Schizosaccharomyces pombe: one gene and its partners. The gene in region 3 interacts genetically with the main gene of each other region. Each region holds a gene or a part of one and is shown on either strand. Other genes may lie near its edges.

The links. A genetic interaction does not mean that the proteins touch.
Region 1: mutations in cdc12 (region 3) and myo2 are lethal when combined (synthetic lethality), as found in Schizosaccharomyces pombe (4 studies listed by BioGRID, with this or other methods).
Region 2: mutations in cdc12 (region 3) and act1 are lethal when combined (synthetic lethality), as found in Schizosaccharomyces pombe (3 studies listed by BioGRID, with this or other methods).

What each region holds. Positions count from the first base shown.
Region 1 is NC_003421.2:1,232,731-1,240,085, reverse strand, and holds myo2 (myosin II heavy chain myo2), read left to right. Parts: upstream 1-1,849; 5' UTR 1,850-2,055; coding exon 2,056-6,636; 3' UTR 6,637-6,855; downstream 6,856-7,355. Other genes in the region: RhoGEF for Rho1, Rgf3, read left to right, coding at 1-701; Smc5-6 complex non-SMC MAGE family subunit Nse3, read right to left, coding at 6,915-7,355. UniProt on the Schizosaccharomyces pombe protein: Required for cell division. It is a component of the cdc12 'spot', a structure thought to mark the site of septation. May work in conjunction with myo3.
Region 2 is NC_003423.3:1,474,985-1,479,061, reverse strand, and holds act1 (actin Act1), read left to right. Parts: upstream 1-1,728; 5' UTR 1,729-1,785; coding exon 1,786-2,913; 3' UTR 2,914-3,577; downstream 3,578-4,077. Other genes in the region: spore wall alpha-1,3-glucan synthase Mok12, read left to right, coding at 1-958. UniProt on the Schizosaccharomyces pombe protein: Actins are highly conserved proteins that are involved in various types of cell motility and are ubiquitously expressed in all eukaryotic cells.
Region 3 is NC_003424.3:281,334-291,530, forward strand, and holds cdc12 (cytokinetic formin Cdc12), read left to right. Parts: upstream 1-2,010; 5' UTR 2,011-2,142; coding exon 2,143-7,668; 3' UTR 7,669-7,867; downstream 7,868-10,197. Other genes in the region: exocytic docking protein Mso1, read left to right, coding at 616-1,071; SPOM_SPAC1F5.03C (FAD-dependent oxidoreductase), read left to right, coding at 8,619-8,652, 8,854-9,968. UniProt on the Schizosaccharomyces pombe protein: Plays a role in the cell cycle. Involved in cytokinesis. Component of the cell division ring. In the absence of profilin, caps the barbed end of actin filaments, thus preventing subunit addition and dissociation.

The DNA.
Region 1 (7,355 bases), on a different chromosome or scaffold from region 3:
GTGAGCGAACTTTGGTTTTTTATAAAGAGGGACTCGGTAATACTACAACCATAATTTGCTGTGAACCAGTGATCGGCTTAGGACATAACTATCAGAAAACATATGCCTTCAAGAGAAAAGATGTTACTTCCTTCAGAACTCTGGATGATTTTCACGTAACGGCTAACTGTCATTCAATTGATTGCTTTAAGTATTCAATTGCTCTTTGTCACAATAAAGGCATTGACGTTCTGCGTTTGGACCCTAAATTAGCAGTTGGTTTTCCAAGCCCTTCAGTGCTTAATGATACGTTGTTTCGGAACCGAATCAACAACAGTAAGCCGCTTGGCGTCTTTCGCATCCACGATCCTAGCTTATTTGCATGCTGCTATCAATTCGGTGCCGTGTTTGTCAATGGAGAGGGTAGTATGGTTAATAAAGAGTGTTGGTTTGATTGGATTGGCAAACCGAACTCTGTTACCAGCTGTCATGGATATCTCATTGCATTTAATGATGAATTTGTCGAAATATGGAACACGCGAACTAGGAAACTTAATCAAATTATCCAAGGAAATGACATTAAATACTACCCTAGTAACAGTGATTGGCTAGCCAATGGGAAATATATAATGTTTGGCATGGTTCATCCTCAGTATCACGATCGCCATTTGATACTCGCTTTAAATAAGGCAAAAACAAACTCCTTCATAATTGAAGATTGATAATTATCATATTTATTACAAGTTTTCTTGCCATGATTGTCTTTTTTACTCATCCATACTTTTGAATATCGGAAACGTTTATCTTATTTTGTTTTACGGAACATCCTGCATCTTTCGAATCATATTTTATCGCAGCCTTGAAATTTTATTTCTTCTTTTTTTTTTTTTTTACATTTCCCTACCCATTTTATCACAAAGGAATATTAAAATCTGCATGCATTAACATTTTTTAATTACTTAAAATGATCGCTACTATCATTATGTTCAGTGTTAAGCCAAAATTGGCTTATTGTACAAGTTGCATAAACTTGCCGACTACAGTTGATGAAAACAGAGAACATTGTTGTTTTTTTACGTAACTGGTTATGGTATTCTGCATGTTTTGATCATAAGTTTAAAGATGTGGTTACACATTGAAGCACCATGCTTTCTTTCAAACACTAACTGAAGCAACTAACATTTCTGTATATTTACTTATTGATTATTACCAGGGCCATAGCTGTAGATGGTCAGTAAGCACATAATAATTACTGATTGCGATTATTAGCTAGAGCGTGTTCTTATAATTATTCAGTAAGAGGCATGATTAGAGTGCTATATATAAAATGTAGATAAATAAATGCCGAGTTTAGTTATTTGCTTTAAAAGTTGTGTTCGGTACGATGAGGAACATATTATTTGCGTATCTAGTCACAAATTACTCATATATCTGTAATAGCGGGAGTTTTTTATACAATCATTTTACCTAAAAGCACGGGGGAACATGAAATTTCGATTAAACCGTAACCCCTAATCCTACGTTCATTTGATGTTTTGAGTATTAGTACAATGTATTTTCAATTATTACTTAATATCTTCAATCTTGATGAAAGTAAAGCTTTAAAAATTTGTCAGGACTTTAATTGCAAAAGACCGAGTATATAATGACCTCCATCTATTAATATTATTTCTTTTAAAAGATATATATACCTTCTTAATTGTGATATTAAAATCATTATGTTATAGGAATGTTTCTGGATGCTACCTTAACCTATACTAAATGTTTTAACGCAAATATGATCAAGTACATAAACGTTCGATTAACGCATGCGTTAATCGAATGTTCAAGTGCTTAAATCATTAATTGCTGTGCGTTCAACGGGGAGTACAAAAAGTATCCAACAACATAGTTCTTTAACGTTTTCTCTGTGCATTTGTTGATCCTTCTTTTCGGATATATCTATTGCTATCTTTTTGGATTTTTTCACTCTTTGATTTTTGGTCTATCCTTATTGTTTTACAAGGTTTTGGTATTGTACACCGCATTGTTTATTTTCAGGAAAGGCGGTAAATAACCGTCTTAGAGAGTAGCCCGATGACAGAAGTAATATCTAATAAAATAACTGCAAAAGATGGTGCAACTAGTCTGAAGGATATTGATGATAAACGATGGGTTTGGATTTCCGACCCAGAGACTGCCTTTACCAAGGCTTGGATTAAAGAGGATCTGCCAGACAAGAAATATGTTGTTCGGTATAATAATTCCAGGGATGAGAAGATCGTTGGTGAGGATGAAATTGATCCGGTGAATCCTGCCAAGTTTGATAGAGTCAATGACATGGCTGAGTTGACATACTTAAACGAGCCTGCAGTCACATACAATCTTGAACAGAGATATCTCTCTGATCAAATTTATACCTATTCTGGGCTCTTTCTCGTTGCGGTCAATCCTTATTGTGGACTACCAATCTATACGAAGGACATCATTCAATTGTACAAAGATAAAACACAAGAGCGCAAGCTACCTCATGTCTTCGCAATCGCGGATTTAGCATACAATAACCTTTTAGAAAATAAGGAAAATCAATCGATTCTTGTAACTGGTGAGTCCGGCGCAGGTAAAACAGAGAATACCAAAAGAATCATCCAATATCTTGCAGCAATTGCTAGCTCGACTACCGTTGGCTCTAGTCAGGTTGAAGAGCAGATCATTAAAACGAATCCTGTGCTCGAATCATTTGGTAATGCTCGTACCGTACGCAACAACAATTCTTCTCGTTTTGGAAAATTCATTAAAGTTGAGTTTTCTTTGAGTGGGGAAATTTCGAATGCCGCCATAGAATGGTATCTTCTTGAAAAATCTCGCGTTGTTCATCAGAACGAGTTTGAAAGAAACTACCATGTTTTTTATCAGCTTTTAAGTGGTGCTGATACTGCTCTCAAGAACAAACTTCTTTTAACCGATAACTGTAATGATTATCGATATTTGAAGGATTCGGTTCACATTATTGATGGAGTTGACGATAAAGAAGAGTTTAAAACTCTTTTAGCTGCTTTTAAAACTCTTGGATTTGACGATAAAGAGAACTTTGATTTATTTAATATACTTTCCATTATTCTACATATGGGAAATATTGATGTCGGTGCTGATCGCTCTGGTATAGCTCGTCTTCTCAATCCTGATGAGATTGACAAGCTCTGTCATTTGCTTGGTGTGTCTCCGGAGTTATTTTCACAAAATCTTGTTCGACCTCGTATTAAAGCAGGCCATGAATGGGTTATCAGCGCTCGAAGTCAAACTCAAGTCATTTCGTCCATTGAAGCATTAGCAAAAGCCATATACGAAAGGAATTTTGGATGGCTGGTAAAGCGACTTAACACTTCCTTGAACCATTCCAATGCCCAAAGCTACTTTATTGGTATTTTAGATATCGCCGGTTTCGAAATCTTTGAGAAAAACAGTTTTGAACAACTTTGCATTAATTACACAAATGAAAAGTTGCAACAATTCTTTAACCATCACATGTTCGTATTGGAGCAAGAAGAATATATGAAAGAAGAAATTGTATGGGATTTCATTGATTTTGGACATGATTTACAGCCGACTATTGATTTAATCGAGAAAGCAAACCCAATAGGTATTCTTTCATGTTTGGATGAAGAATGTGTTATGCCGAAAGCAACTGATGCTACGTTTACTTCTAAACTTGATGCTCTTTGGAGGAACAAGTCGCTAAAATATAAACCTTTTAAGTTTGCCGATCAAGGTTTTATTTTGACTCATTATGCCGCTGATGTTCCTTACAGTACAGAAGGTTGGCTGGAGAAGAACACCGATCCTTTGAATGAAAACGTTGCTAAGTTGCTTGCGCAATCTACTAACAAGCATGTCGCTACACTATTTTCTGATTATCAGGAAACTGAGACTAAAACTGTTAGGGGAAGGACGAAAAAGGGCCTTTTTCGAACTGTTGCTCAAAGGCATAAAGAGCAGCTCAATCAGCTTATGAATCAATTTAACTCGACCCAACCTCACTTTATTCGTTGTATTGTTCCAAACGAAGAAAAGAAAATGCACACCTTTAATAGACCCCTCGTTTTAGGACAACTTCGATGTAATGGTGTTTTGGAAGGAATCAGAATCACAAGGGCTGGTTTTCCTAACCGTTTACCATTTAATGATTTTAGAGTCAGATATGAGATAATGGCGCATTTACCAACAGGTACCTATGTGGAATCTCGACGTGCTTCTGTCATGATTTTGGAGGAGTTGAAAATTGACGAAGCATCTTATCGAATTGGTGTTTCAAAAATATTTTTCAAAGCAGGTGTTTTAGCAGAATTAGAGGAGAGGCGCGTAGCGACTTTACAAAGACTGATGACTATGCTACAAACAAGGATCCGTGGCTTTCTTCAAAGAAAAATTTTTCAAAAGCGATTGAAGGACATACAAGCCATCAAATTACTACAAGCAAATTTGCAAGTGTACAATGAATTTAGAACTTTTCCTTGGGCTAAGTTATTTTTCAATCTAAGGCCCTTATTAAGTAGTACTCAAAATGATAAGCAGCTTAAAAAGCGAGATGCTGAAATCATAGAGCTGAAGTACGAGCTGAAAAAACAACAGAATTCAAAATCTGAGGTAGAGCGTGATCTCGTCGAGACCAACAATTCTTTAACTGCTGTTGAAAATTTGCTTACTACTGAACGTGCGATAGCCCTTGATAAGGAGGAAATATTACGTCGAACACAGGAAAGGCTTGCAAACATAGAAGATTCGTTTAGCGAAACAAAACAGCAAAATGAAAATTTGCAACGAGAGTCAGCGTCATTGAAACAGATTAATAACGAATTAGAAAGTGAGTTACTAGAAAAAACTTCCAAGGTTGAGACTTTGTTATCAGAACAGAACGAACTGAAAGAAAAACTGAGTTTGGAAGAGAAGGATTTGCTAGATACAAAGGGAGAACTTGAGTCTTTACGTGAGAACAATGCAACTGTTTTATCAGAAAAAGCAGAGTTCAATGAACAATGTAAAAGTTTACAGGAAACTATCGTTACCAAGGATGCTGAACTTGATAAACTCACTAAATATATTTCTGACTATAAAACTGAAATTCAAGAAATGAGACTGACAAATCAGAAGATGAATGAAAAGAGTATTCAGCAGGAAGGTTCTTTATCTGAGAGTCTCAAACGAGTCAAAAAATTAGAACGTGAAAATTCTACTCTTATAAGCGACGTCTCTATTTTAAAACAGCAGAAAGAAGAGTTAAGCGTCTTGAAAGGAGTGCAAGAGTTAACAATAAATAACTTAGAAGAGAAGGTTAATTATTTGGAAGCCGATGTCAAACAGCTTCCGAAATTGAAGAAAGAACTAGAATCCTTGAATGACAAAGATCAACTTTATCAGCTCCAGGCTACCAAAAATAAAGAACTGGAAGCCAAAGTTAAAGAATGTTTAAATAACATCAAATCGTTAACGAAAGAGCTTGAAAATAAGGAAGAGAAATGCCAAAATTTGTCAGATGCTTCTTTAAAGTACATTGAATTGCAAGAAATCCATGAGAATTTACTTCTTAAAGTTAGCGACTTGGAGAATTACAAGAAAAAATATGAAGGACTTCAGCTGGACTTGGAGGGGTTAAAAGACGTCGATACAAACTTTCAGGAACTTTCGAAAAAACATCGTGATTTGACCTTTAATCATGAAAGTCTTCTTCGGCAATCGGCGTCCTACAAGGAAAAGCTTTCGTTGGCGAGCTCCGAGAATAAAGATCTCTCTAATAAGGTATCGAGTTTGACGAAGCAAGTAAATGAACTTTCTCCAAAAGCATCTAAGGTTCCCGAACTTGAGAGGAAGATTACTAACTTAATGCACGAGTACAGTCAACTCGGTAAGACCTTTGAAGATGAAAAGCGTAAAGCATTGATAGCTAGTCGAGATAACGAAGAATTACGCTCTTTGAAATCAGAGTTGGAGAGTAAACGAAAGCTTGAAGTTGAGTATCAAAAGGTACTAGAAGAAGTAAAAACAACTAGAAGCCTCCGTTCGGAAGTCACCCTTTTAAGGAACAAAGTTGCTGATCATGAAAGTATACGTAGTAAGCTTTCAGAAGTAGAAATGAAGCTGGTTGATACTCGAAAGGAACTGAATTCTGCTCTTGATTCCTGCAAGAAGCGAGAGGCAGAGATACATCGCCTTAAAGAACATAGACCGTCCGGAAAGGAGAATAATATACCGGCTGTCAAAACTACGGAACCCGTTTTGAAAAATATTCCACAACGAAAGACAATTTTTGATTTACAGCAAAGAAATGCAAATCAAGCGTTATACGAGAACTTGAAACGAGACTACGACCGTCTTAATCTTGAGAAGCACAACTTAGAGAAGCAAGTTAATGAGTTAAAAGGGGCCGAAGTATCACCTCAACCTACTGGCCAATCTTTGCAACATGTCAACTTGGCTCATGCTATTGAATTGAAAGCTCTGAAGGATCAAATAAATAGCGAAAAGGCAAAAATGTTTTCCGTTCAAGTACAATATGAAAAACGTGAGCAGGAGTTACAAAAACGAATTGCTTCTTTGGAAAAAGTGAACAAAGATTCGTTAATAGATGTGAGAGCTTTACGAGATCGCATTGCAAGCCTTGAAGATGAGTTGCGCGCCGCATGAAGTTAAATGATTTTGTAATGATGAAACCTTTATTAATTATATTATATATACTGACATATACTTCTCTTATAAGTTTACGAGCTATTTTTTTATTTTTTTTATTTAACAGCTGTACATAATATTCCCGCTATATAACCAAATATACATCTTAAATTTATATCGAGATATTAGCACGCATATAGGAACTTAAATAATATTACGAATTTTTTTGTAGTAGCGGAGTAAGTATACAATAGCATTAACATGAGACGAGCATAATGTAAAAACCTAAGAGTCATCTATGCTGCACTTGAGGAAGATTGATTCTGATACTCCTGCCGATATTCGGTTAATAGAGCATCCATATCAATGTCTGAATCCGGAAAGAACTCTGTAACGAATGATTTCAAGCCTTCAATAGAAATTTCAGTTACTGCACGGGATCCAATATAATAAACAAACTGGTTATGGGTATCATCTTTCACTCTATCTAAATACCCTTGGCGAACTAAAAGAGATAACGAGCGAGTAATATCCAGATGCAAAGGGGTTGTTTCTTCCTCTGTTAGAAGTTCCTGCAAAAAAGATTGCAGTTCTGAATGTCCTACACTGCAATGAGAAACGGCTATGAATGCGATCACAGTCATCAAAAATCCATAATAAGCAGTATCCAATACCGAATCTACAATTAAGCGAGAATCCTTTTGAAGTTCCATAGGAAGGGTAGACCTCAACACCCA
Region 2 (4,077 bases), on a different chromosome or scaffold from region 3:
TGCCATTTCAAGTTCTACTGGATCGCTGTATTTTGCATGGAATTTTGGTGCCGAAGGAGGTATCGCAACTCATCATTGGATTTTGAGGGCCTGTCTTGTACATGGGATTCAACAGATTTGGTCTGCAATCCTCTGGTCATGGGGAGATCTATTATCGAAGAAAGATTTGACTCAAAATGTGGGGCCTGGCATTTTTGCAGGGGGACTTATCGCCTCTTTCATTTGCTTCGGGCTTTCCTACGTAACATTCGCAGGTTTACCTGCTTTTTATCGCCAAGCTCCTTCTATCATTCCAGCGTTTTATCGTTCATTAGGAAAACGAAATATTGTAATTTGGTTTTTTATCTCTCAAATTTTAATCAATTACTGGCTTGCTGTCCCTTATGGCCAGGCTTGGAGGTTTTTCTGGAATACTAGCAACACTCCTTTGTGGAGCATAATCATTCTTTTACTCATTTTCTTCATCGTGGTTTGGGCCGTTCTCTTATCAGTTATAAAGATTTTGTCTCTTAATAACGTTTGGTTTCCAGTGATATTTGGATTGGGCCTCATTTGTCCACGCTGGTGCTTAGAGTTTTGGTCATCCTCGGGTCTCGGAATTAATTTACCATGGGCTGGTAAGGCTTCTGCCTTGCTGACGAAGTCAGTATGGCTTTTGCTAGCTCTATGGGACGGGATACAGGGAGTCGGTGTCGGTGTAATGTTACTGCAAACCCTGGCGAGAGATCATGTTGCTTTCACGTTGATGCTAGCGCAAGTTATAAGTTGTATTACAATTATGATCGCAAAACCTTCTCTGCCTGTAAGTGATCGAGTATTCCCAAATCTTGGTGCATGGAATCCTAGCGAAGGACCGGGACCTTGTGCATCACCTTGCTTTTATATTGCACTAATATGTCAATTTGTAGCTGTTGGAGGATTGCTCTATCACTATCGTAAAAGTCAGCTTGCTCTTTAGTGTTTGATCTACGATAATGAGACGGTGTTTGGGTTGTTTTTACTGAATTTTTCTTTTATTTTATGACATCTTAATTTTTATGTTAATGATTATTCTTATACTTTTATCTATCTTTGATTAAAACTAATATTCATTCTTTTGATCACTAATTATTTTTATAGTATACGATTCAACCCAACTATAATACATTGTATCAAGAGAAATTTTTAATTAGATGTAATTTAATAGCCATTTGATAAAAAAAAATTACCTTTTTTTTTGCTAGTGTTAAATTATTGATCATAACAATGTCGAATGAATACTAATAAAATAGGGACACGCGAGTTGCAAATACTTGAAATACCTTTGAAGATTTGTCTGTGAATTTTGATAAGATTTTTATGACCATCTCTTTTATATTCGATATCGTGAACTTTCATTTTCTTTTGTTTTTTGCTTTTCAAGTTAAATAACGCGGAAATTATATTTCCTTATATGTTTATAAGAGCTTTTAAAGGATTTGCTATATCGCTTACAGTACTACAACCGGTTGCTCAATGTTATCCGTTTCCGCGGTCTTCTTCCGTGCGCATTCTGCCGTGAAGTGCTAACGCTGTGTGTGGCTTTATCAAAAAAGTGGCTCAAATATAGCAATTTCATACATATTTAAACACCCATTATACTTAAATGTATATTTTAAAATATATAAGAGATTTTCACTGTATAACTGTGTATCTTATCTATATGTAATCAACGGCTTCATACCACCTCAGCCAGCCGTGTTATAACTTACCGTTTACCAACTACATTTTTTGTAACGAACCAAAAAACCCTCAAAAGACAAGACCATGGAAGAAGAAATCGCAGCGTTGGTTATTGATAATGGCTCTGGTATGTGCAAAGCCGGTTTCGCTGGAGATGATGCCCCTAGAGCTGTATTCCCCTCGATTGTCGGTAGACCCCGTCACCATGGTATTATGGTAGGTATGGGACAAAAGGATTCCTACGTTGGTGATGAAGCTCAAAGCAAGCGTGGTATTTTGACCTTGAAGTACCCCATTGAGCACGGTATTGTCAACAACTGGGATGATATGGAAAAGATTTGGCATCACACTTTCTACAACGAGCTTCGTGTTGCTCCTGAGGAGCACCCTTGCTTGTTGACTGAGGCTCCTTTGAACCCCAAATCCAACCGTGAGAAGATGACTCAAATTATTTTCGAAACCTTTAATGCACCTGCCTTTTATGTTGCTATTCAAGCTGTTTTGTCTTTGTATGCCTCTGGTCGTACCACTGGTATCGTCTTGGACTCTGGTGATGGTGTTACCCACACTGTTCCCATTTATGAGGGTTATGCTCTTCCTCATGCTATCATGCGTCTTGATCTCGCCGGTCGTGACTTGACTGACTACCTTATGAAGATTCTCATGGAGCGTGGTTATACTTTCTCTACTACCGCCGAACGTGAAATTGTTCGTGACATCAAGGAGAAACTTTGCTACGTCGCTTTGGACTTTGAGCAAGAACTTCAAACTGCTGCTCAATCTTCCTCCCTTGAGAAATCTTATGAGCTTCCTGATGGTCAAGTTATCACTATCGGAAACGAGCGTTTCCGTGCCCCTGAAGCTCTTTTCCAACCCTCAGCTTTGGGTCTTGAAAACGCCGGTATTCATGAGGCTACTTACAACTCTATCATGAAATGTGATGTTGATATTCGTAAAGATTTGTACGGTAACGTTGTTATGTCTGGTGGTACCACTATGTATCCCGGTATTGCCGATCGTATGCAAAAGGAGATTCAAGCCCTTGCTCCTAGCTCCATGAAGGTCAAGATTGTTGCTCCTCCTGAGCGTAAATACTCTGTCTGGATTGGTGGATCCATTCTTGCTTCTCTTTCTACTTTCCAACAGATGTGGATCTCCAAGCAAGAGTATGATGAGAGCGGACCTGGTATCGTTTACCGTAAGTGCTTCTAAGCTCCTCTTACTTTTTGTAACGTTTTTTACATACTTTTGAATAACATCGATTCTTCTGATATATATAAATTTCAATCTTTTTTTACCTATTTAACCACCTTTTTCCGCTCTTAACATCTCATGAGGAACTTTGGGTATCAATTATTGGAGTGTTTTATATACTTTCTGATTACTATCGTTTTCTTGCTCTGTTTTCTTTTTTTCATTATAGACGAATGCAGAGCTAGCCTTTTACATATTGAAGTTACAGAAATATTTCCAGTAGATACCTATGATGTTACTTCATTCGCTTATAACTTCCCGTTTTCTTTAACATGTTTCTTCTCGAGTCCGGCCGATTATTTTTGTCGATATTTTCGTTATGTTTATCGCTGTGATTATCGATTAAAGAACTGTAGTAAATGAATTTTACTTACTCCCGTTAATTTTTACGAATTTTATTTTGTACAAGGTGGTAACTGCGAGATAGTTAGAAGCGGAAGTGGTGCAATGTACTTCATCAGCCATTTCTTTTCGTCCTGTAGAGTTGTATCATCTTCAGTACTGATTTAATTGGTACCTGAACTTGTATAACTTTGAAGCCAAATGGTTGAATGTGTTTTACATTAGTATTAGCAAAAGTTTATTAGGTCAAAAAAAGATTTAATACATACATGGTATATGATCATTGTTGGATAGTATAGTTGAGGTAAAATTCTTATAAATTGTAAGACATTGGTATGATTAGTGTTCTTCAAATATAAAAAGAGAGGAAGTAGTGAATTATGAAGCTGTAGGAGATGGAGCCCGATTAGCCAGTTGTATAGTTGAGCGATTAATATATAGTGACAAAGTAATTTGGACTGACGACGCCTCTCTGTATAAACAAATCCAATGATATTACATTCCTATGACTTTATTTAGAATTGTTTCGTCAACATATATTATTACAAGAGATTATTATTTTTTTTTGTAGTATTATGATAATATTAAAACCATTGTTCAAAGAATAAGAGAAAAATGTTAACCATATTAAATAAAATAAGTTGCTGCTGAAACATGGAAAGAAAAGATCCATCGAAATTTGCAGAACATGTATGAAAAAGGATGGCCAAGACCCGGTGCCTGAACTCGTGACAGAGTATAGACGCATTAAAACGAACGTTAAATGATGTTGATGAAAAA
Region 3 (10,197 bases):
ACATATTAAGGGCGAGGCTCTTTTTCACCGACATATATTTAATTTAAAGAAATTTTTATTGTAGATACTAGTTTATGATTTTTGGAAGACTACAAGTAGTAAAATTAAAACTTACCTAACTATTTTAAAACTACATTTTCGTAGTCCATTTAGAAATTATGTATACCTTAATTAGCTACTACATAGTAAGATTGCTCAGTATTGATTTTGTTTACCAAGCTTTTCATCGTTCATTCTTTTTTTTAGCCGATTTCATGCATCATCTTCGAGAGTATCTAAATTAAATGTTTAAATCCACCCACAAATTATTTTTATTTGTAAGATATTAATCAATTGGACATTTGCAATAAAATTATCTATTTATGTGCTGATTTTACATTCGTTAAAACATATAATGTAGTTCATGGTCGTGTTATTAATCACTTTAGACAGTTTAGCGAGTTGGCGTCTTTATGAAATCCGCGTCGCCAGATATTAAGCCGTTCTTGGCATCATAATAATGGCTAAACTTTTTTATTAATTACTTTTATTGAAATTTTTTGAATTCAAATGCCAAGGTTCTTTAAAATTTAGAGATTAAGTAGTACATAAAGAAACGCGAACTCTCGATTCATCATGTGGTCAAAGTTATCGATTTCTTCAAAAATTAATCGTATTCGCGACCCTGAAAGCGATAATACGATTGAAGATACTCACGTTGCTCGTGTAATGAGAAAATACTATATGGACAAAATTGGGACATTACCTGAATGGCTTCGTCCTCCTGGATGGCAGCCTCCAGTTAACACAGGACCTACTTCCCCAGTTAGCATAAATGCAAGTAATGCGGCTCCTTCAAATTTAAAAGCTTCATATATTCCGGCCAATCCTAGGAGGCTATCGTCCTCCACTTCCTCTGCTTCGTCTCCCCCTTTACGACGATTACCTTCTGTTCAACATAGTACCTTTGACGATTTGTTTGAAGGTGTCGGAAGTCTTCAAAAATCACCTTCCACCACGAAACCTCTTTCCTCTACACCTTCCGGCTCATTGCTACGGTCAAAATTTGATCACACTAGAAAGAAGTTTTAGTTGACACAACGATACCTTTACTTTACTCTCATTGGTATCTGTTAATGGCGTATTAATGATCAAAACGACTTTTTGTTTCTTTGAAAATGCTGTTACTACGTATGTGTTATTCTCAACCTCGTTTGTTAATAACTAAGCCCATCTTACCCAGAAGTTCGACATTTGTCAGTACAGAGGCATAATTACTTATTTTACAACTTTGAGTTAGCTCACCTTTTCTGGTTTTTCCTTTAGTAATTATTTTTGGAATGACCTGACAATAAGGTGCACTATCCTAAGCAACTCGCCTTTAGTTTGAGAACTATCATTTAGTCTAATTAAATAACCATCACATGTTCTTTATGTTTCTAACCGGATTGTAGCTTTAAAAATTAAACTGTTCAAAAAGCGCTTGGTAGAATTAAAGCTAGTAGCTGAAATCAATTCAACATTATAAAAACTTATCGTTACATACAGCGCATCGTATAGGTTTCTTTAATTTCTAACTCGAACACTTAGGGACGAATTGTGAAAATTCGTTATTGTAATTTAATATGGTATGTAAATAAAAGCACCAATGGATTCGTTCTTGTGATTCTCGTTTATTTGCAAATTTCTGGTTATATTTAGCTCAACGTGACAACAAAATATGTTACGAATGCTTTGTAAGTAAAAATGATCTTCACGAATGTATTTTCTCATTGAACAACGTTTTAAGCAACCAGAAACCGCATCCAAATGCAGACTAGACTTACAAGACGAGAATTTCGATTATCCTAAAAATAAAATTTAATACGCTATAACGCAATTTAACCATTATAATATTAGATATATCGAAGTTTCATTTCCTTTCAACTTACTTGTTCGCAAGTATACGTATTATCTTAGATCATTTAAGCCATCCCAACCCTTACTCGCTAAGTGTTCCACTTTATCCAAATTTGAAGGTCAACAAGTTCTGAACATCAACTTTTAGCAAATTTAAAAAAAAGGTTTAATTGAGCTAAAACTTTTCATCACAGTTTCCTTGTTAATACTTGAAAACAAGATCCTGAAAGCAATTACAATGCTGCATTCGTTTATGAAGTAGAGATGCGAAATTCGTCAAAGGGACAGGACCCTAATTTTTCTTATGACTCTATTCTGTCTACTCCAACTCCATCAGCCAGAAGAACTATTGGGCCAAGGGCTCCTAAGTCCAAAACAACGTACCATAAACCTCCATCATCCATAGAATCAGTATCGACGTTAATCCAGCCTAATAAGTCCCAATCAGTTACTTCTCCGTATGTAAAGCAATTTACCTTTTCATCGAAAGAGTACAATTCTCATAATAAACATGCTTTGCAAAATTCCCAGCTTCCTTTACCTAAAACACCCGAGAAATCTACTGTCCATCGACCCAAAGCGAATAAAGTTGAAGTCACTGATCTACCATCTTCGTCTTCCGTTGAACATTTGCACACTTCTAAACATCTCAAGGGTCCTAGGTTGCCCAAAAACATTATTAAAAGTTCTGAGGATGTCCAAATTGCTCCAGTGACACCCCCTGTACATTCTCGCTCTTTTGATCCTTTGCCGAAACCTCCTGTTCCCTCAGTTCCAGTATCTAAGACAAAAAGGCGAACTAAGCATAAACTTGCTCCTGTTGTTGAAGTCCCTGAGATTACCAACGAGGTTTCCCCAAAATTCACTTCTACTAATGATGAACAAGTTTATCGACTACGTTCAATTCGAGCTGGGAGCCCTAATTCGGTATGCTCGTTTCAGTTTGAAATTCCGAGTACTCGACCACCTTCATTGGATCAGCTAATACATCTATTCAACGATTTTTTAAGACACCCTGTATTTGATTTTGACGAAAACGCCATTGAAATGCTTCAAAGTTGTACTCCAGATGAAAAGTGGTGTTTTATTCGTTCTAACTTCGCCGGGTTTGATGATCCTTCTTTCCAAATTCCAGAATTAGCTGCCGTCCATAGACCTGTTTCCTGGTTCGTAATCCAACTATGGAATAAAACAATTAGTAATTTACAACTTATCACACTTTCTTCTTTATTATCAACTCAATCCGATCGATGGATATCTCTTTTTCTTGAACTGCAGGGACTTCGAGCTTTGCATAATCTACTTACATATTTTAATTCGTCTGCCGTAGTGCAGCCTCAGCAAGCTGAAGTTCCTCGTTGCATGCTTACTCTTTTGAAGAAAAAACCTACTCTGGTTACTTCCAATTCTTATATATTTCAAGCAATAACAGTGACCCTTATATCCCCAAATTTGCTTCCGAGGAAAGTAGCCGCAGATTTATTGACATGGGTTCTGTCTTTAAAGGAACCTCTTGTGGTCTCCATATTGGAAACTGGATTTAAAGAAATAAATGCCGAATATGAAAAGGAGGTTCCGCTATTCTTTGGATGGATAAAATCTTTCAAAGACATAATCTTGGAAAAAGAATTAGCACGAACCCCTCCATCTTCTCCTGCTCGAAATTCTGCTTCCAGCTCACCTTCAAACATAGCGTTTCTTGAGTATTGTACTTCCACTATGGAATTTATCAATCAGCTAATTGTTGCTTGCGAAGAATTGGAGCAAGGATTTGACCTTGATATATTGGATTCCCTTCGTGAATCAGGTATACACGAAGTTATACAACTTCTACGTAACTTTCCTGACCAACAACTTGAGAAACAACTAAACATATATGAATCAGAAGAAGAGAGGAGGACTATAAGTCAGACCACGCATGAAGATGTCGATTCCTTTATGTCAAATGAATCCTCAATTTTAAGTAGCTTCAATGAATTTGCATCAAATGAAGTTGGCCGTTTACTTGAATCAACTATTCAAAACATACTACTTGCCAAAGGTACTGAAAAGCAAAAGGTGAAACTTATCAAGGTTTTTAACTCTTTACTTCAAAGAATACTGCTCAATTCAAAAGTATCCAATGAAAGTTTTGAAGATAGTTTACAGGCATCTTTAAATATGCTAACCGAAAGATTCTATTCGGATGACACAGCCAGAAATGCTTTGAAGGAAGCAAAGGCGTCACGTGCAATGGCTGAGAAAATGGTTATTGAAAGAGATGCAATGGCTGCGCAAGTAAATCTGGGTGCCGAAGACTTAATTGCGAAGTTAAACAAAGAAGTAGAGGATCAGAAAGACGTTATTCTTTCTCAGAAAAGAACGAATGAGACTCTAAAAACAGAAATTGATGCTCTCCAAAAGTCTCATGTTACTCAAATCCAAAGGAGCGAAGTGGAATTACGAGAATTGTATCTTCTTATCAATTCGGATTCTTTTCAGGGCTCAACTAATTCCAAGGAAAGGATTATAGAATATTTGTTGGATAAGCTTGACTTGAGGAAAAAGGAAATTGCTGCAGAGTCAACACTTTGGTCAAACGATGGAATTGATGACAAACTTCGGGATCTAAGGGAGCAAATGTCTCGACAGTCCAGCCAGCCCTCAACTGTGTCAACTATTTTACAAATTCCTGATAAAAAATTTCATCGTCCATTCCCTCGTCATTTACATCGATATGTTGGTCGTTCAGCTTCTGAATCGTTAACCAGTGAAAAGGATGAGTCCATCAAAAGTATGAAAGGAATTGATGACTTTGCGAACTTGGAGATTCCGGGAAAGGGTATTGAGTCAAACGTCGTAATAAAGGATATTTCAAATCAAACGCATGAGATTAATAGCGTTGAGAACAAAGCAGAAACAGTTAGCAACAATAGTAAAATTACGAACTTTGATATTCCTAATGATGCAACTTCTTTACCAACGATAATTACACATCCAACTCCACCACCACCTCCTCCTCTTCCTGTTAAAACTAGTTTAAATACCTTTTCCCATCCTGATTCTGTGAACATCGTTGCTAATGATACATCGGTTGCTGGGGTTATGCCTGCTTTTCCACCACCACCACCACCTCCTCCTCCCTTAGTAAGTGCAGCTGGAGGTAAATTCGTATCCCCAGCTGTTTCAAATAATATATCAAAAGATGATTTGCATAAGACTACTGGTTTGACTCGTCGACCAACTCGTCGTTTGAAGCAAATGCATTGGGAGAAGTTGAATTCTGGGCTGGAATTTACATTTTGGACGGGACCTTCTGACGAGGCCAACAAAATTTTGGAAACCTTGCATACATCAGGGGTCTTAGATGAATTAGATGAAAGTTTTGCGATGAAGGAAGCAAAAACATTGGTCAAAAAAACATGTGCTAGAACTGATTACATGAGTAGTGAACTTCAGAAGCTTTTTGGTATTCACTTTCACAAGCTGTCTCACAAAAATCCGAATGAGATCATTCGCATGATTTTACATTGTGATGATAGCATGAACGAGTGTGTTGAATTTTTATCAAGTGACAAAGTACTAAATCAACCTAAATTAAAAGCAGATTTGGAGCCTTATCGTATTGACTGGGCAAATGGTGGTGATCTAGTTAATAGCGAAAAGGATGCTTCAGAGCTTAGTCGTTGGGACTATCTTTATGTGAGACTTATAGTTGATCTTGGGGGTTATTGGAACCAAAGAATGAATGCACTAAAAGTTAAAAACATAATCGAAACCAATTATGAGAACCTTGTTCGTCAAACAAAACTTATAGGGCGGGCTGCTCTTGAGCTTCGGGACAGCAAAGTTTTTAAAGGTTTGCTATATTTAATTCTATATTTAGGAAACTATATGAACGATTATGTGCGCCAAGCTAAAGGATTTGCCATTGGTTCACTTCAAAGACTTCCATTGATAAAAAATGCCAATAACACTAAAAGTTTACTTCATATACTTGATATAACTATTAGGAAGCATTTTCCTCAGTTTGACAACTTTTCCCCTGAACTATCAACCGTCACTGAAGCAGCCAAACTGAATATTGAAGCGATTGAACAAGAGTGCTCCGAGTTAATTCGTGGTTGTCAGAATTTACAAATAGACTGTGATTCTGGGGCTCTTTCCGACCCTACGGTATTTCATCCTGATGATAAAATCCTTTCAGTTATATTACCCTGGTTAATGGAAGGCACCAAAAAAATGGATTTTTTGAAAGAGCATTTACGTACAATGAATACTACCCTGAACAATGCTATGAGATATTTTGGTGAACAGCCTAATGACCCTAATTCCAAGAACCTGTTCTTTAAACGTGTTGATTCTTTCATAATTGACTACTCTAAGGCTAGATCTGACAACTTGAAATCGGAAGAAGAAGAAGCTTCACAGCATAGACGTTTGAATCTTGTCAACAATCATAAAGAACACGTGCTTGAACGTGCAATGTCTGAAAATAACAAAATGGATAATGAAGCAATGGATGGTTTCCTTGATAAATTGAGAAACGTCAAATTAGAAAGTCACCATAAACCACGAAATAGATCCGCCATTACTATGGGTAAAGAACATTTAATAGAAGCTCCTAACACTTCTACTAAATCTAGTCCTGCAAAAAACGAATTATTTGTTCCTAAGAGATCTTCGGTAAAAAGTGACTTGGCAAAAGTTAGGCCAAGGTATCCTAAGGGTAGTGAATCAACCGATGGATTATCTGACGCATTAAATATTACTCCAACGAAAAAAGGAGAAGTATCTAGCAAAGCTAAAAAGGGATACAACTACGAAAAGCGTCGTTCGGGCCGTCAGGTATCTGATAGCTATGTCCTTAACAAAAATTCGAAGAATAAAAGTAATAAGGGTCGCTCCGCTTCTTACACTTTTTCTGATCCAAGCAGTTTGGAAGATTCTAATAGGCAAAAACCCTTTAATGGTGAGAAATTTCGAAGGTTTAGTTCAAAATCAAGAAGAGGTTCACAAAACCGGGATTCTAAGAAGACGGGTAAAGCTCGAAAGGATAAAGGTATAAACAATAACCAGACAAGCCCTCAGAATAAACCGTCTAAAGAATCTCTAAAATCTGATACTATTTCAAACGAGAAGAAAGTATTTCCTCAAAAGGCTTCTAAAGTTAATTTGCTTACGCCGACAATTTCAAATGGTACTAGGGCAAGTAAACATGCTAACGAAAAGGAGAATACTTTTCCTCGTGGTGTCGAAAATAATCTGGTTGCTCCCATGATTCCTAATAACACCGAACTTAATGAAGATACCAGCGCTGTCTCTCGGAACTTAGAAAATGCCACCAATGACTTGAAGGAAACTTTTCCGACTACAACTACGATTTCAACAGCCAGAGCTAAACCTGGTAACAATGATATTAACACTATTTTACGAAGAAACAATAGCCGTGGCCGTCGACGCATGTTGCAGCAAATGAGTCCTTTGAAAAGCAATAAATTTTCGGGAACTAATGATTTGAATTTTCAACAAGCTACTAAACCAGACGGCAGCAATAAGTCCTCATATATGGAACGTCTGGAAAAATTGAAACAAAACTCTGAACGACATCTTCAATCAGTAGGAGGTAAGAAGGTTTATTCTTCTGAAGAAACGCCCGTCAACAAAATATTAGTATCGCCTTCCGTTTCTATTTTGGATCATAACCGAATCTTAAGTCAAAGTACTCCTATCAAATCACCACAACGAGCACAAGAAATGCTTGCAGGTTTATTATCTGGAAAATTGGCGCCTAAGGAGAATGAGAAATAGGTTAATGATGCAATCTTTCTACCATTGCATAATTTTTTTTTCTAATTTTGGAAGTTAGTTTAGTTGGAAGATTGCCCTTTTTTTGAAGTGTGTATCATGTTCATCATTTTTAATAGAAAGAGCTGGCTCGTTTGACATTTTGTCATATTTCTTTAAAAATCTTCTTATGAGTATGTAAATATAATGATTTAAATCCCTATTCTATTTATCATAATGTCTGTTGCGCAAATTGATGTAGAACTCTGTAAAATTTTTCAATCTGAAGTAAAATAGGACTAATGTTAAGATGAAAATCGTTTAGAAATCATTCGATGTGTGCTAATGTTTCTTCGTTTCTTTTATAAAGTGACGAATCATTGGCGAAGACTCACTATTTAAATATTGCTCAATTATATTTTCGGTGTAATTAACTTGTTACATTTTCTAAGGCAAATACATTGTGCTGTTGCAGAACTGTCTTTTCGAGAAACATACTCTGATTGATGTATCGTTGGTAGAATGGTAGAACACGAGCATGCATTAAGTCAAACATTCTACAAAATGAAATTTCAATTATTTTTATACACATGTTGTTTTTCGAGAAGTCTAAAATTAGTCTACGCTCGAGTAGTAGCATGTATAATTCAGTAAATAGCATAACTATTAACTATTGAGATTGTTTATGTGCTTAATCTTTTTTTATAATTTAACTAGTGCTCATTGAAATAGATTGACGACGAGCTTTTTAAACGCTTTAACTACCAACTTGCGCTGACCACTCACTATTGGTTTTAAGTTCAACGGATTTAGAAGATTAGCGCGCACATCTTGACCACCGAACTACCCAACACCAACGTTGTGAAAATTTTAAATTCGTAATCTTTCTTTGAAAATTGGAATTATTGGTATATAATTAAATTTCAGAGTCTACATTACTTGGTTTAAATTTAAACCGAGTTTTAGAAATAACAATGAGCAATTCTCGAAACATTGTAATTGTCGGTGGTATGTGACTTTAAAAATAGCTGGACTCATGATCTCTTTTATCTTAACTCATATATTGTTGATGTTGTTGATATTGACAAGAAGTTCATCAGCTTTATGACGGTGAAACTTCTTTCCTGCCATGCTCAGATGAGCTTTGCTTTGATTGCTATTTTACTTTACTGCCGCAATTTTCATAACTTACTAACAAATATTTTTCAGGTGGAATCACCGGTGTGAGCTGTTTATATTTTTTGGCTCATCACCCCAGTTTTAATCGTGATCGTGACACTATAACACTTTTTGAAAGTGCTGGTATTGCATCTGCCGCTTCTGGAAAAGCATCTGGTTTCCTTTCCTTAGAATGGCATGGCCCTTCGACGAGTTCTTTAGCTGCTCTTTCGTACAACCTACACAAAGAATTATCGGATCAATATGATGGAGTCAATAAATGGGGTTATCGAGCGTTAGATACTTGGTCCATTAAAGCTGACGAAAATTGCCAACAACCTGATAAATTGCCTGAGGGAATTGAATGGATTGCTCCCTCTATTGTTGAGAATGTTACTCGTTTAGGAAACAAGAAAAATTCTGGTCAAGTTCATCCTTATAAATTTTGTCATGCTATTTACGAAGAGGCCAGTAAGGTTGCAAACGTTACCTTGGTAAAAGGTCATGTATTAAGTGTTGATGAAAATGAAGTTGAATATCGGCTTATTGGTGATGACTACGCCCCGGATGAAGAGGAGGAAATTACTTCGGCTGAAGAACTGCATACCATTCATTCAATGGAGGCAACTCACATAATTGTCGCTGCCGGTCCTTGGACTCCCCAATTAATACCCAACTTGCGAATAAGTGGAGCACGAATTCATAGCATAACTATCGATCTTCCTATCAAGCTAAACGGCAATGCTGTATTTTCTGAAATTACCTATAAAGATGGGACAATTGCTGCTCCGGAGTTTTATGCACGTGAAGATGAGCTGTATGTATGTGGTGAATTCGATGACGAGCCTTTGCCTGAATTGTCGTCAGATACGAAGGTGGATCAAGATAAATGCGCTTTGATTAAACAATGTGCCAACCATTTCCACCAAATAATTCGTGATTCTCCTGTTAAAGTTCGTCAAGCGTGTTATTTGCCCATTTCTAATGCAACGGGTGCTCCTGTCATTGGAAAAATTGGTTCATCTATTTATGTTGCGGCAGCTCACGGCTGTTGGGGTATAACTTTGGGACCTGGTACAGGAAAAGTGTTATCTGAACTCATTTTGGATGGTGCTGTTACTAGCGCAAACATTGATCTTTTAGATCCGGAAGGTTCTTTGGAATAAAATCACCTTAATTATGGCCATATTTGTCTTCATATCCCTTCTTGTTTCTTATTTTTTTACGCTTAGCCTTTTATCCTTTATTTTCACTCTTTTATTCATCACATTCTCATTTATGAGAAAAGTCTAGGCATATTTTGGGAAACATATTTTCGAATCATGGTATTGATAAGATCATGATTATGAACGACTACTTTACTACCATCAACTCATAACAATTCTTGTTTGCTAT